Linked DNA regions of Arabidopsis thaliana. The protein of the gene in region 3 interacts with the protein of the main gene of each other region in a pairwise test. Each region holds a gene or a part of one and is shown on either strand. Other genes may lie near its edges. The genes, in order: AT4G16430, NIG1 and JAZ6.

The links.
Region 1: the proteins of JAZ6 (region 3) and AT4G16430 interact in a two-hybrid assay, tested with the Arabidopsis thaliana proteins (one study listed by BioGRID).
Region 2: the proteins of JAZ6 (region 3) and NIG1 interact in a two-hybrid assay, tested with the Arabidopsis thaliana proteins (one study listed by BioGRID).

The regions. Positions count from the first base shown.
Region 1 is NC_003075.7:9,265,125-9,268,881, reverse strand, and holds the start of AT4G16430 (basic helix-loop-helix (bHLH) DNA-binding superfamily protein), read right to left. Parts: upstream 1,623-3,757; 5' UTR 1,377-1,622; intron 1,289-1,376; 5' UTR 1,284-1,288; coding exon 1-1,283. Other genes in the region: ADA2B (ADA2 2B), read left to right, coding at 3,107-3,156, 3,600-3,655, 3,743-3,757.
Region 2 is NC_003076.8:19,000,416-19,004,172, reverse strand, and holds the start of NIG1 (calcium-binding transcription factor NIG1), read right to left. Parts: upstream 1,610-3,757; 5' UTR 1,455-1,609; coding exon 1-1,454. Other genes in the region: AT5G46825 (uncharacterized protein), read right to left, coding at 1,674-1,754, 1,890-1,959, 1,994-2,047, 2,112-2,128.
Region 3 is NC_003070.9:27,274,456-27,278,212, forward strand, and holds the start of JAZ6 (jasmonate-zim-domain protein 6), read right to left. Parts: upstream 2,108-3,757; 5' UTR 1,682-2,107; coding exon 1,528-1,681; intron 1,213-1,527; coding exon 1,089-1,212; intron 937-1,088; coding exon 610-936; coding exon of another isoform or gene 606-609; exon of another isoform or gene 86-605; coding exon 1-85. UniProt on the Arabidopsis thaliana protein: Repressor of jasmonate responses.

The DNA.
Region 1 (3,757 bases), on a different chromosome or scaffold from region 3:
GGCATAACTTCATTCTCCCTCAACGTTTGTATCACCTTTGAAACTGGATGAGTTTCCAACGGACAGCTTAGCCTTACAACTGCATCATCATGCCTCTGTTGATAATCAACCTCTGCTGGAGTTATCTGATTACTCTCCCTCCTCTTCATTATCTGCTTCTCTGTTTCATACACCCTGATTTTCTTCTGCATATCCGTGATGTAAGTGATTGCGTCTGCAAGGAGCGAAGCCTTGTCCATCTTGGAGATGTTAGGCACCACCGCTCTCAAAGCGTAGAATCTCTGGTTCAGCTTCTCCCTCCTCTGCCGTTCCGCTTCCACATGGTTTAGAGCCTCTTCTCTTCCATTTGCTGGTTTTCTCCCTCTCTTCCTCGGCTTTTGCTCGTCAGTTAGATACAATGTCTCATCTTTCCCTTGCTCATAACCATACACTTGATTAGAGCCTCCGATCGCTTGCACCTCATACGATTCCAATGAGAAACCCGTGTCATCCTCGGTCTTCGGGGAGAAATTAATACTCATAGACCGAGGTTTTGCTCCACCAAGACTCAGCTGTCGACCAAAGATTTTAGGAGCTTCTTTAGCCTGAACAAAGTCAGACCCACCAAACACTGATTTCACCATCTCAATCACACTCTTATCTTCTGGAATATGTCTTAAAGAACCAAGCTCCACAACTCCAGAATTCACTGGTACAGACAACACAGTCTGAAAACCAGCTGACCTAGCTAAGAAAGACCTAACCCTATAATAACTCAAGCAGCTAGGCAAATCTGCAGCCCAAAGAGGCTTCCCAGACACATAGGTTCCAGCAGGACCGTACTTATTGGTATCACACCTAAAGGAAAAGTACAAAGAAGCCAGATAAAACATGTCGAGATCAGTAAGAGCTCCTGATTTCACCAAACGATGATCTTCATCTGAACCAACGAACGACAAGTGAAGCTTGCGAAGCACACGTCTTTTGATCTCATCTTGCTGAGAGTAATCCTCACCTGAAGCACCCTTTTTGACACGGCAATGACCATCTCCCCAGATCAAGACACAACCATCAGAGCTATTAACGTTGGACGCTAGCCAGAAAAGAGCATAATCCCAATCAGATCCTTCAACAACGTGACGTAACCCTTGTTGGAGATTGGAATCACTTGGTGGTGAGACAAGCTTGGACAAGGCAGTGTTGGAAGCTGAAGCTGTTGAGATGAAAAAGTCGCAAGCTTCAGAGCCTATGGTGGATTCAACCATCGCTCGATCTTCTTGATTCTCCCAAAACTTTTGACCCATTTCTCCTGAAACGTTCATTGACATGGAATATACAAAAATTAGGGTATGGAATCAAATAAAATTAAAGGTATTTGGATTGAGATCGCTGCTTACAAATGAGATAGAAGATGATGGGTTTCGTGAGGAAGAGGAACGAGAATCACGTGATTCTTGCTGAGACACCGAATTTAGGGTTTGTTGGTGAAAAAGCAAAATCCTTTATAAAGGATATAACTCTAATTTATATTGCTGAGAAAGGAATGATCAAAGAGAAGACAAAACCTGAGCTTGGTTCACTTCAGATCTGTAGTGACTTGTTCTGAAATTGACGAAGAAAGAAGAAAAGAGGAAGAGACTATGCGAGAGAGAGAATATGGGTTTAATCGTAATTTAATACCAAGGACATCATTTCCTTCAGTTTTTTAACTGCAAACTATACTTTTGCCTTTTCTTACATACCAAACCACAAGTCATTGTGGTGTAATATCTATTCAACTACAAGTAAACCCATATCACTGGATTTTTGTCGAGATTATGTGTACATGTTGGGAAATTATTTCGTAGTACAACCTATTATGATGGGAGAATCGAAACTCGTCTTCTGAATTAACTTATCGCAAATCACCGTTAATAAGCGGAAAAGGAATTTACACATCTTACAATTATGCGCAAATACAATTGTTAATTGGATGAGTCATGCCATATTCTTGAGATGGTATGATAGGTATCATTACACCATGTAGTCAATCACGATTTTTTTGGATAATGTGGTTTAGAAGAACTAATCGCGTCTAATATAGACAAACTTATTCGTTCAGCAAAACAACAATTCGATATTTTTATTCGATTGACATGAGTCTTATAAAATTTATCACTAGATGTCTAATAAAAAAGGTTCAAACATTTCTAATAATTCGATTTTCGACCAAAATAAGAAACTTTAAATTAGCATCAAACTATCTTATATGGTTGTTTCCTTGCTTAACCTTCTTCCAAATCAATTTTTCAAATTAGCATCAATAAGATTTTAAAATACATCATAATGTTGTTCCGATAGTGTGTGACAACACTAACCATTTATTCCTATACAAGTTTATTTACTTGCTAATTCATTTACTGAAAATGTCCATGAACAAAATACCTAAAAACGAATAACCATAACCCAACCAAATATTAAAGACATCTCCATCAAGAAGAAACCCAAACAGTTTTTCAAACAAAAAGAATATTAGTATTTTATTATAATTTTATATATGATTAAATTTTTATTTTAGCGAACCAATTGAAAAGAGAAAAATATTATGATGGTTTGTATAAAGTATTTCATAGTTTAACGAGAAACATTCTACACTCTCTTTCTTTTCCTTTTATTATTTTTATTATTTTAATAATAAAAAATTACCAATAAAAATGGTCTATCTTAGCTTTTTTTTCTTCATTTTTTTTTCCCTCAACCACCATTCAACAATTAACATAAAAAATAATAGTTTTTTAAGTTGAAGTTATAAGAGTCAATTTAGTTTAAGTCATATGCTTTAGTAATAAGCATGACCGTCTAATCCCAAAAAATCTAAAAAGTACAGTGCCTTAGAAATTTCCTTTACCTCGACTTCCCTAATTTTAATCTTCTCGGTCGGAACTTCTGAATAATATTAGTAGAGATCCAAAACCTCACAAATTTCGACCGAGTTTTGTTGAATTCCGATTAGATCTTTCTTCCACGAAACCCCCCCAAGTACCCATTCCATCTTCTCCGGTGAGTCTCCCATGTTGGCATTACGCTAGGGTTCTTCTTCTCTGTGGTTTCGCATAACCCAATAATCCAATTTTCTACTTGGGCATCAATGGGTCGCTCTCGAGGGAACTTCCAAAATTTCGAAGACCCTACTCAGAGGTTTGTTCCTAATTCACTACTCTAATTTCCGATTTGGGGTTTTTGTGGATTTCTCTTTTGTAATTGCCAATTTGTGCTGAAATTGATTTGAATTTCAAGTTTCTTTGAGTCTGTGTTGTGCAATTGTCATTGATCTCTAGTTGGGACAATGAGCATGGCTTCAAATTTGTGGCTTTTGATAACTTTCAGTAGCTATAGTCTCCTCTATCTTCATCTATGTAATTGTGCCAATTTCTGCTGAAATTGATTGATTTTGAAGTTTCTTTGCATCTGCTTTGTGCAACAATCATTGATTTTTCAGTTGGGACAATGAGCATCGCTTAAAGTTTGTTGCTTTTGAAAACTTTCAGTAGCTATGTAGTCTCTTCTCTGTTTTCATCTGTGTAATTGTTTTTTCACTGTTGAAGCTGACATGAAAGAATCGTGTTATGCGTTTGTTGCAGAACGAGGAAAAAGAAAAATGCGGCTAATGTGGAGAACTTTGAGTCTACTTCTTTGGGTAAAAAAATACTTATCAAGGTTTTTTTTTTTTGTTTCTCCTGTCAAGATTCTTCTTTTACTCAACATTTTTTATTTGTGGAGACAGTACCAGGTGCTGAGG
Region 2 (3,757 bases), on a different chromosome or scaffold from region 3:
ATCATAAGATCGTTCATCACAGAAATGCTCGCATGATTCACTTCTAACTCCAAATCCATCAAAGCATTCATCAATCTCGCTCCTGGATGATGATCCTTCCTTGATTCAACTCTAACCATTGCATCATCACTTTCCATAATCTTCACTTCGATCTTCATCATCTCTGATGCCTTTTCCTCGTATTTACAAACGCTAGGAATTGCGTTTCGTTGTCCTGCAATCTCCTTGAGTTCATTGAACTGAATCTCAATCGCATGTTTCTCCAATTCAACGTTTTCAGCTTTTGATTTCAGCTCGTTTATGTAACAAACCGCGTCTTCGAGCAACGACGTTTTGTCCATTTTCGATACGTTTGGTACAACCGCTCGTAATGCGTAGAATCTGTGGTTTAGCTTCTCACGTCTCATCCTCTCTGCTTCCACGTGGTTCAAAGGCTTGTCTCTACCATGCGCCGGTTTTCTCCCGCGCTTTTTTCCCTTCTTCTTCTCCAGCATCACCGTCGCGTGAGGGACGACGTTTTGAATCTGATCAGAATAAGTATTAGGGTTCCGATTTTCAAAACTCTGTTTAACATTCTCGCCAAAACTCAGTACATCGCCGCATGGAGCTCTCGCCAATGTGGAAGATGACGTCGAGAAGTTCAAATTATACCGGTTCTGTAGATAAACCGGACTAGGATTCGGGTTACCGGTTACAGTACTTGAACAACTGCTCTCTAACTGAAATGGGAAAAGCTCCGAGTTCGAATTCGGGGCTCCAGAAAAATATTTGGATCCTCCAAAAAGAAACCGGATCCTATTAAAAAGATCCGAATTTGGTCGGATCTCCTCCGTGGATGCAAGCTCCAACACTCCGTTATGTGAAGGAATACACAAGATGGTCTGTAACCCTACATCCCCTCCTTGTTTAGCCCGATCACAACCCGACCCGTAAATCAGATCCGAACCGGTAACCAAAACCGGGTTATAGCTAGCAAACGCCTTACCCGCTAACCCGGATCCGTTACCAAAACTCCACGTCATGGAAACCAAGAAGAACCACTCCATATCCGTCACTTCCACGTCATCGTCATCACTGACGTCGTCTTCAACCACCGGAAACGCTTCGCCGGAGATCATCAAGTTAAGCTCCCGAATAACATTACTCCGACGCTCTTTCTCCTCCGGAGACGACAGAATCGTCTTCTTCCTCCTCAACCTCCCTCGTGTCTTTTCCTCGTTGCCACCAGTGTAAACTCCGTCGCCCCATTTGAGAACTGCTTCACCGGAAAAGTCATCGTACGACGGTTTCCAGAAAATGGCGTAACTCCAGGGCTCGTGGGTTCCATTCAACACAGCATGTAAACGCTTCGGGAGAGTAGTCTCGAGGCTGAGATTCGCCGGAAGTAATGGTGGCGACGGATCGGAGGTCAAGAGAGCTTCGATCATCAATAAGTTATCGTCGGTATTAATCATCGTTGCCGGAGTATTAGAAGTCGTCTCAAGTCTTTGTATTTATATATCTAAACTAAACGAGAAACTATAGAGTATAGAGTGTACTCTTTATTTTGTTTCACACGAGTGCATGAAAATATTACATTTTTCTGTGGTTTTCTTTTCATGAATTTTAACGACCCATGTGCGATAGCTGATGTATCACTATCACCTATCACCAGGTAAAAGGACCACATTTTTCTAGGTAACGGGATTGTTTCGTCGTTGAACAAAATGGATTGAATGAAACACGATTATATGTCGGGAAATTTGCAAAATTGACTAACAAAAAAACTATAATTAAGAAACTAACCAACAACAAAAACAGAGATGATATTTTGTATATAAACTATAATATATACTAAAGTACTCTTATCTACACAATCACCATCTTTTTTATGCTATTACAACCATTACCCTTGCAACCGTCATCATCATCGCATCCACCATTATTTCCACAAATGTCATACCATCATCACCATCACCACTGCAATCGTCACCACCATAGAAACTACCATTACGCTGTCATCTCAACCACCATCACCATTATTGCCGCCGCAATTGACACACGACCACTGCAACCACCAACACAAATATTACTACGACCTACACCATACACACCACCACCACCTTAATCACTTCTTCCTCTCTTCCATTGCTTGTTTCACTTCTCTCGCCTCTTATCTTTTTTTTCTACTTTAACTTAATTAAAACAGAACCGAACTATAGTTTTCTATTTTACTTTCAATTTTGTACCATTCTATTTGCTAGTTAGAACGGAAAAAAATGAAAACGAAGACTCACAAGATCTTATTGAATATTTTCTGGTTTGATCAATATCTAAAATTGAAAATCCCTAACACAAATTTAAACCCAAAATCGAATCGATTTCAATTCGCTTTAGGAAAGGAGAAAAGAGATTAAAAGTATATAAACATGATTTTGTCAGATTTCTAAAAACTGATTCTTGAGATGATTTCATTTAGTTTAATTATTTTTGTTTGGGTTCCATATATAGTATCTTAGGGTTTAGTTTTCTTAAATCAATAGATGTTTTTAAATTAGAATGGATTGATATAAAAAAGTTAAATTTTCTGGAAATTTTTTGTTGGATTGGAGAGAAGAGAAGAAGCAACAAAGAAGATGATGAATGAAAAAGGTCTGTTAAAAAAACATTACCTTTAGATCAATATCTGATTCACAATCCATTACCTTTAGAACATATGGAATATTACCTTTAGATCAATATCTGATCAACAAAACGAAGAAGATGATGAGTCATGGCAAATTGGAAAATAGGGAAATAATGCAGGGATAGACTTGTAATTAGTTAGAGTTTTTGGTTACTTGCTGAATTACGTAAATTATATGGCTATATTCTTAATTTTTGTTCAATTATGGCTATACACCTAGTTCACCCATATATGTTATCACTCTTTCAAAAAAAAAAAAAAAAAAAAAAAATTATCACTCTTTCTTCTTCTTCTTCTTTTTTCTTTTGTTATCACTCTTTAATTCTATATGGATCAGGTTAACAAAACAATGTCAATGGACTTTGTTGCACTGCACTTCCTCATTTTTTTCATTATTACCTATACATTTTGATACTAATATACTCAAAAGTCAAATAACCAATGTTCGATTTCTCCCTTTTAACAATTGGGTTTAACCAAAGTAACGTAAAGAGGCAAAGTTAGCAATGCAATCCTTTAATCTCGCACCCCATCATGATGATTTTAAATAGACATTTTAGTTTTTATGTGTAATGGTGAAGCTTAACATTGATTCTGTGTTTCTATATTTTTTAATGGAGTTATTTTGTAAAATTTAAATAATGACGCAATCTATTGACGGAGCCGTGAATGCTAGATATTGACATTTGACAAAAGAGTTGCATAATTTTGAACTTAAAGTGATTAATGTAACAACAAAAATCTGAAATTACACTGTTTTGTATCTTTGTTTTTTTTTCTTTCAAATTTCATATCTTTATTGGGTTTATGTGGAAGGAAGAGCTTGCATAATGATAAGGAGACCAAGAAAAAGTGGGGAGGAGCAACTGACAAGTTAACACCACATCCTATTTAACAACATTAATGTCTTTTTCTTCATTTTTAAATGGGTACTTAATTTGTAAGATCACATCCTTAAGCTTTTTATTTTGTTGAAACAATCTTATTTGTGTTAACACAAATTATTTTTGAATTGATAGGAATTTGTTTGTGTAAGTGTAGATAGTTTACCACACTATTTTCCGGTTCGAATTTTCAGACATTTTTTCAAAC
Region 3 (3,757 bases):
CTTTATCGATGGAGCAACCATCTCTGGCTTGGGAGGAAGATGACTACCGTGTTGGTTCACTTGATATGGAGCTCTAGCCACAGCCCTGAAATCAAAACAATTAATCAACATTTAAGACAAAGTAGATATTGAAGTTTTGATTTACAAAGAACTCTTAGTTAGTGTTTTTTAACTAGAAATTTCTCGACATTTTACTAATAATTTTCCTAGATCAAGGACACATAGATGATGGACTCATATCTCTTATATACTACTCTAGGTCCCATCTCGAATTTCATTGTAACTTGTAAGATTTTTTACATGTTCTTTATAAATGATGACACTTGAGTCACATCTCGAAATCTTACTCTAGGAATCATAATTCATAAACATACTAGGACCACCCTATGTTCAATTTCATGAATGTTCAACTTAAACTTGATTGGTAATACGCTTCTAATCCGATGTGGGATTCCTAGAATAACTCGAATAAGTCTTAATATGGTAATTATTAGCTATTTTTACATATAACTTTTTTAAGAAACTTTGATCCTAATCTATGCATACATTTTGACGAGCGGCCTAGAAAAAGCATAACCAAGCACAAAACAGTTTCGGAGTTTAGTTTACCTGTCTTTTCGTTTAGCAAAGAATCGATGAAGAGAAGCTCTTCTTGCAATGCGTTCCACAACCTGATGTTGCTGCCCAGTTTCTTGATCTTCATTGTTCCCGGAACTCGTTGGCTCGTTAAGATCGGGAATCACCACGTTGCTTTTGTCAAGATTCATGTGACTCTGACTGTTCTTAGAATCAACAGCAACATGATTCGCTTCTTTAGCTACTTCCATTATCTCCTTAGCTTTGTCTTCAGGAAACTCGTTGAAAACCATAACTTTTCCTCCAAAGAATATGGTCAACTGTGAATTTCCAGACTCCGGTGCTACTTTTGCCGGTTCACTAAAATCAAATCAAACCCATTTTTACAATTAGTCAAACTCCATAGTCCATACATCTATAACCGGTAGTTCTTTCTCTAATTCAATTGCTACAAAATGTGAAAACAAACACTTTAGGAGTTCGAATACATATGAAGTTTGTGTGTACAGTACCTGAGATCAATATATATGGCTTTGTCTTCGGTAGAAGTAGAGGCCTCACCAATAGAAAACTTCTGAATCAACTTGAACGGTCTAGTTTCTGAGGTCTCTACCTTCTTAATCACATTTTGTTGTCCTAAAACAAATTAGAACAGAAATTGCAAACCGATTAAAATTTATCAAAATCAAATTACATGTTTATTACGTTTTTTAAAAAACTTCACAGAATCTCTAACTTTAATATACTTAAGCTGTCCAAAATAATACCATGCTTAAGTTTAAAGAAAAGAAAAGAAAAAAATGATTTAAAATTTTGCATTTCAACAAAAAAAATATATAGTTAAACTTTATGCTAATAATCAACGAAGCAGGATACTAAAAGTATATGATATAAACTTTGGTCTTTATAGGCGGCGGCCGTCGGAATAGATAGGGAAAAATAAATAAATACCTTTGAGATCGAATTTTCCGGCGAGTTCAAGATCGGATTTTCGAGCCAACCCCATATTAATATTCCCAAAACTTCCCTTCTCCTTCAAGTACCGGCTGAGCAGACTACATCTCTGAGAAAAATTGGACTTCTCCGGCGCTTGTCCCGTTGACATACTAGTGTGATGAAGATTACAACAACCCAAGATTTTCTTGTGTGACTTCTTTACACGTACAAAAAATCGAGGATTCCAAAGAGTATGTAGATGTTTTGAGCTTTTTGCTCATGTGTTGTTGTTATAAATAACCAATTCTAGCCAATAAGTTTCTGTGGCTTTTAACCTCTCCCGAATAAATAAAGAAAACGAAATAACGTGTTCTTTTTTTTTATTTAGTCTGAAGTGACAGTGATGTGTGTCCAATATAGAATGTTTTTGTCACGAGTTTTGTAACTTTTTTTTTTACACCTAACTGATCGATAGACATTTTTTTTTTTTTTTTGAACACAAAACTGATCAATAGACTAAACACACATTTTTCTTATGATGGTTCAAGAAGAAGAAATTCTTTTTATGGTCAAACATATTATAGGCTATTAATTTCCTATATCCTCAAATGTTTTGTCACGAATAGAAATAGGGAAATAAATTATATGCGGAAAAAATGATTTATTCCTATGGTTGATTACAAAAATCAAACTACAATGTTCGTTACAAGTTCCGGCACGTTTTCATTGCACAAGCCGTGAAGAAACTGTTGTAAGTTGACGGCGACATTACATAAAGGCGTTAACCCATTTAATTCATTCGGGTCCCAAGAGTTTCTGTTAAATACTAATTTACCCTTCTGAGGTAATTCGTTTAGTGGTGGTTAGGATATTCGTTATTAAAGGGCGTAAATGAGGGCATTTGCAAACGCTATAGTCTAACGGAGTTCTGACGGAGTTAAGTCTCGCGTCGGCTGCGATGGCTAATACGAATTTAATATGTGGGATCCATTAGCAACAGTACGACTTGTGAGTGGATATTTATCGATGAATGGTGTCAATTACTTATCCCCGACAAAGTTTAAGGACACGTGAAGTATTGTTATGTGCGTTTAGGATGTCAACACGTGTCGGAATCTTGGCGGTACCAACCTTATTTCATGCATGATTTGCGTTTTTTTTCCCTCTTTGCTAAAGGATATTATAGCGTTCATACTTCATAGGCCTAATTTTCTTTTCTGTTTTTAATTACAAAAACTGAGTGTAATTAATATTAGAATTTGTGGTTTTGTATGTTGGTAAAAGGTTAACGATTTCTGTTTAGTCCTAATATGAATTTTGTTACTTGCTCAGTTAAATATTATTTCTATAACAATAATAATAATAAAATCTTTTAATCGTTTTGTTCAATGAAGTCGAGCGTTGAATTTTATTTGAATAAGAGGCAATGCCAAAGAGTACCAAAAAAGAATTTAAAACAAAATGTCGTAGACGATCGCGCCAAGGGAAAAAATCATTTTTATTGAATTATTTATCGCAACTTGCAAAATGAGAACATAATACTTTGAACTTTGAAGACTCTTCAATATCATATGATTTCAAGAGTTGAACAACAACTTGAGTCTAATATATACACATGTATGTGTGTATTTAATTACACAATATAGATCCATTGTCATTTTCTAATACATACAAAAGACCAAATAATATTCGCTATTTCACATGAAGATTATCTACATTGTTGGAAGCGCAAGTTGGGTTTCGATCACATATTTGATCATGTCCAAAATAAGGGAATGTCATATTCTAACAGATTTGATATGCAAAAATCAAGATTGTGAGAAGATTCTACTAAGACTACCAAACCAACGTTAACGGCAAAAAAGAAAAGGCAACGGCGAAACCTTCCGGTCACCACTCGAAGTTGGACTCTCCTTTAAGCAATAGAGTATATCAACATTTATCAAATAAATAGTTGTTGTTTTGAGACCTAAGTTCATATATGGACATAATCAAGATGGTGTCAACAGTTTTGGGTTAGGTGTGCTTCAGACTTAATCTTTGAGCTGGGTAAGATTTCCTTTCTATCTAGTGTTACGAGCTAGCGTGTCTCTGTAACAGGTTGTCTTCGGGTAAGTTTGGTCTTGCAGCTTGAGCTTGTGGTGGGAATTCTCTGTACAGTCGTTATCTTCATAAATAAAATGGTACTTATCAGAAAATAAAATAAAATTAGAAGACAATATTGAAAGATTATACAACTCATTTG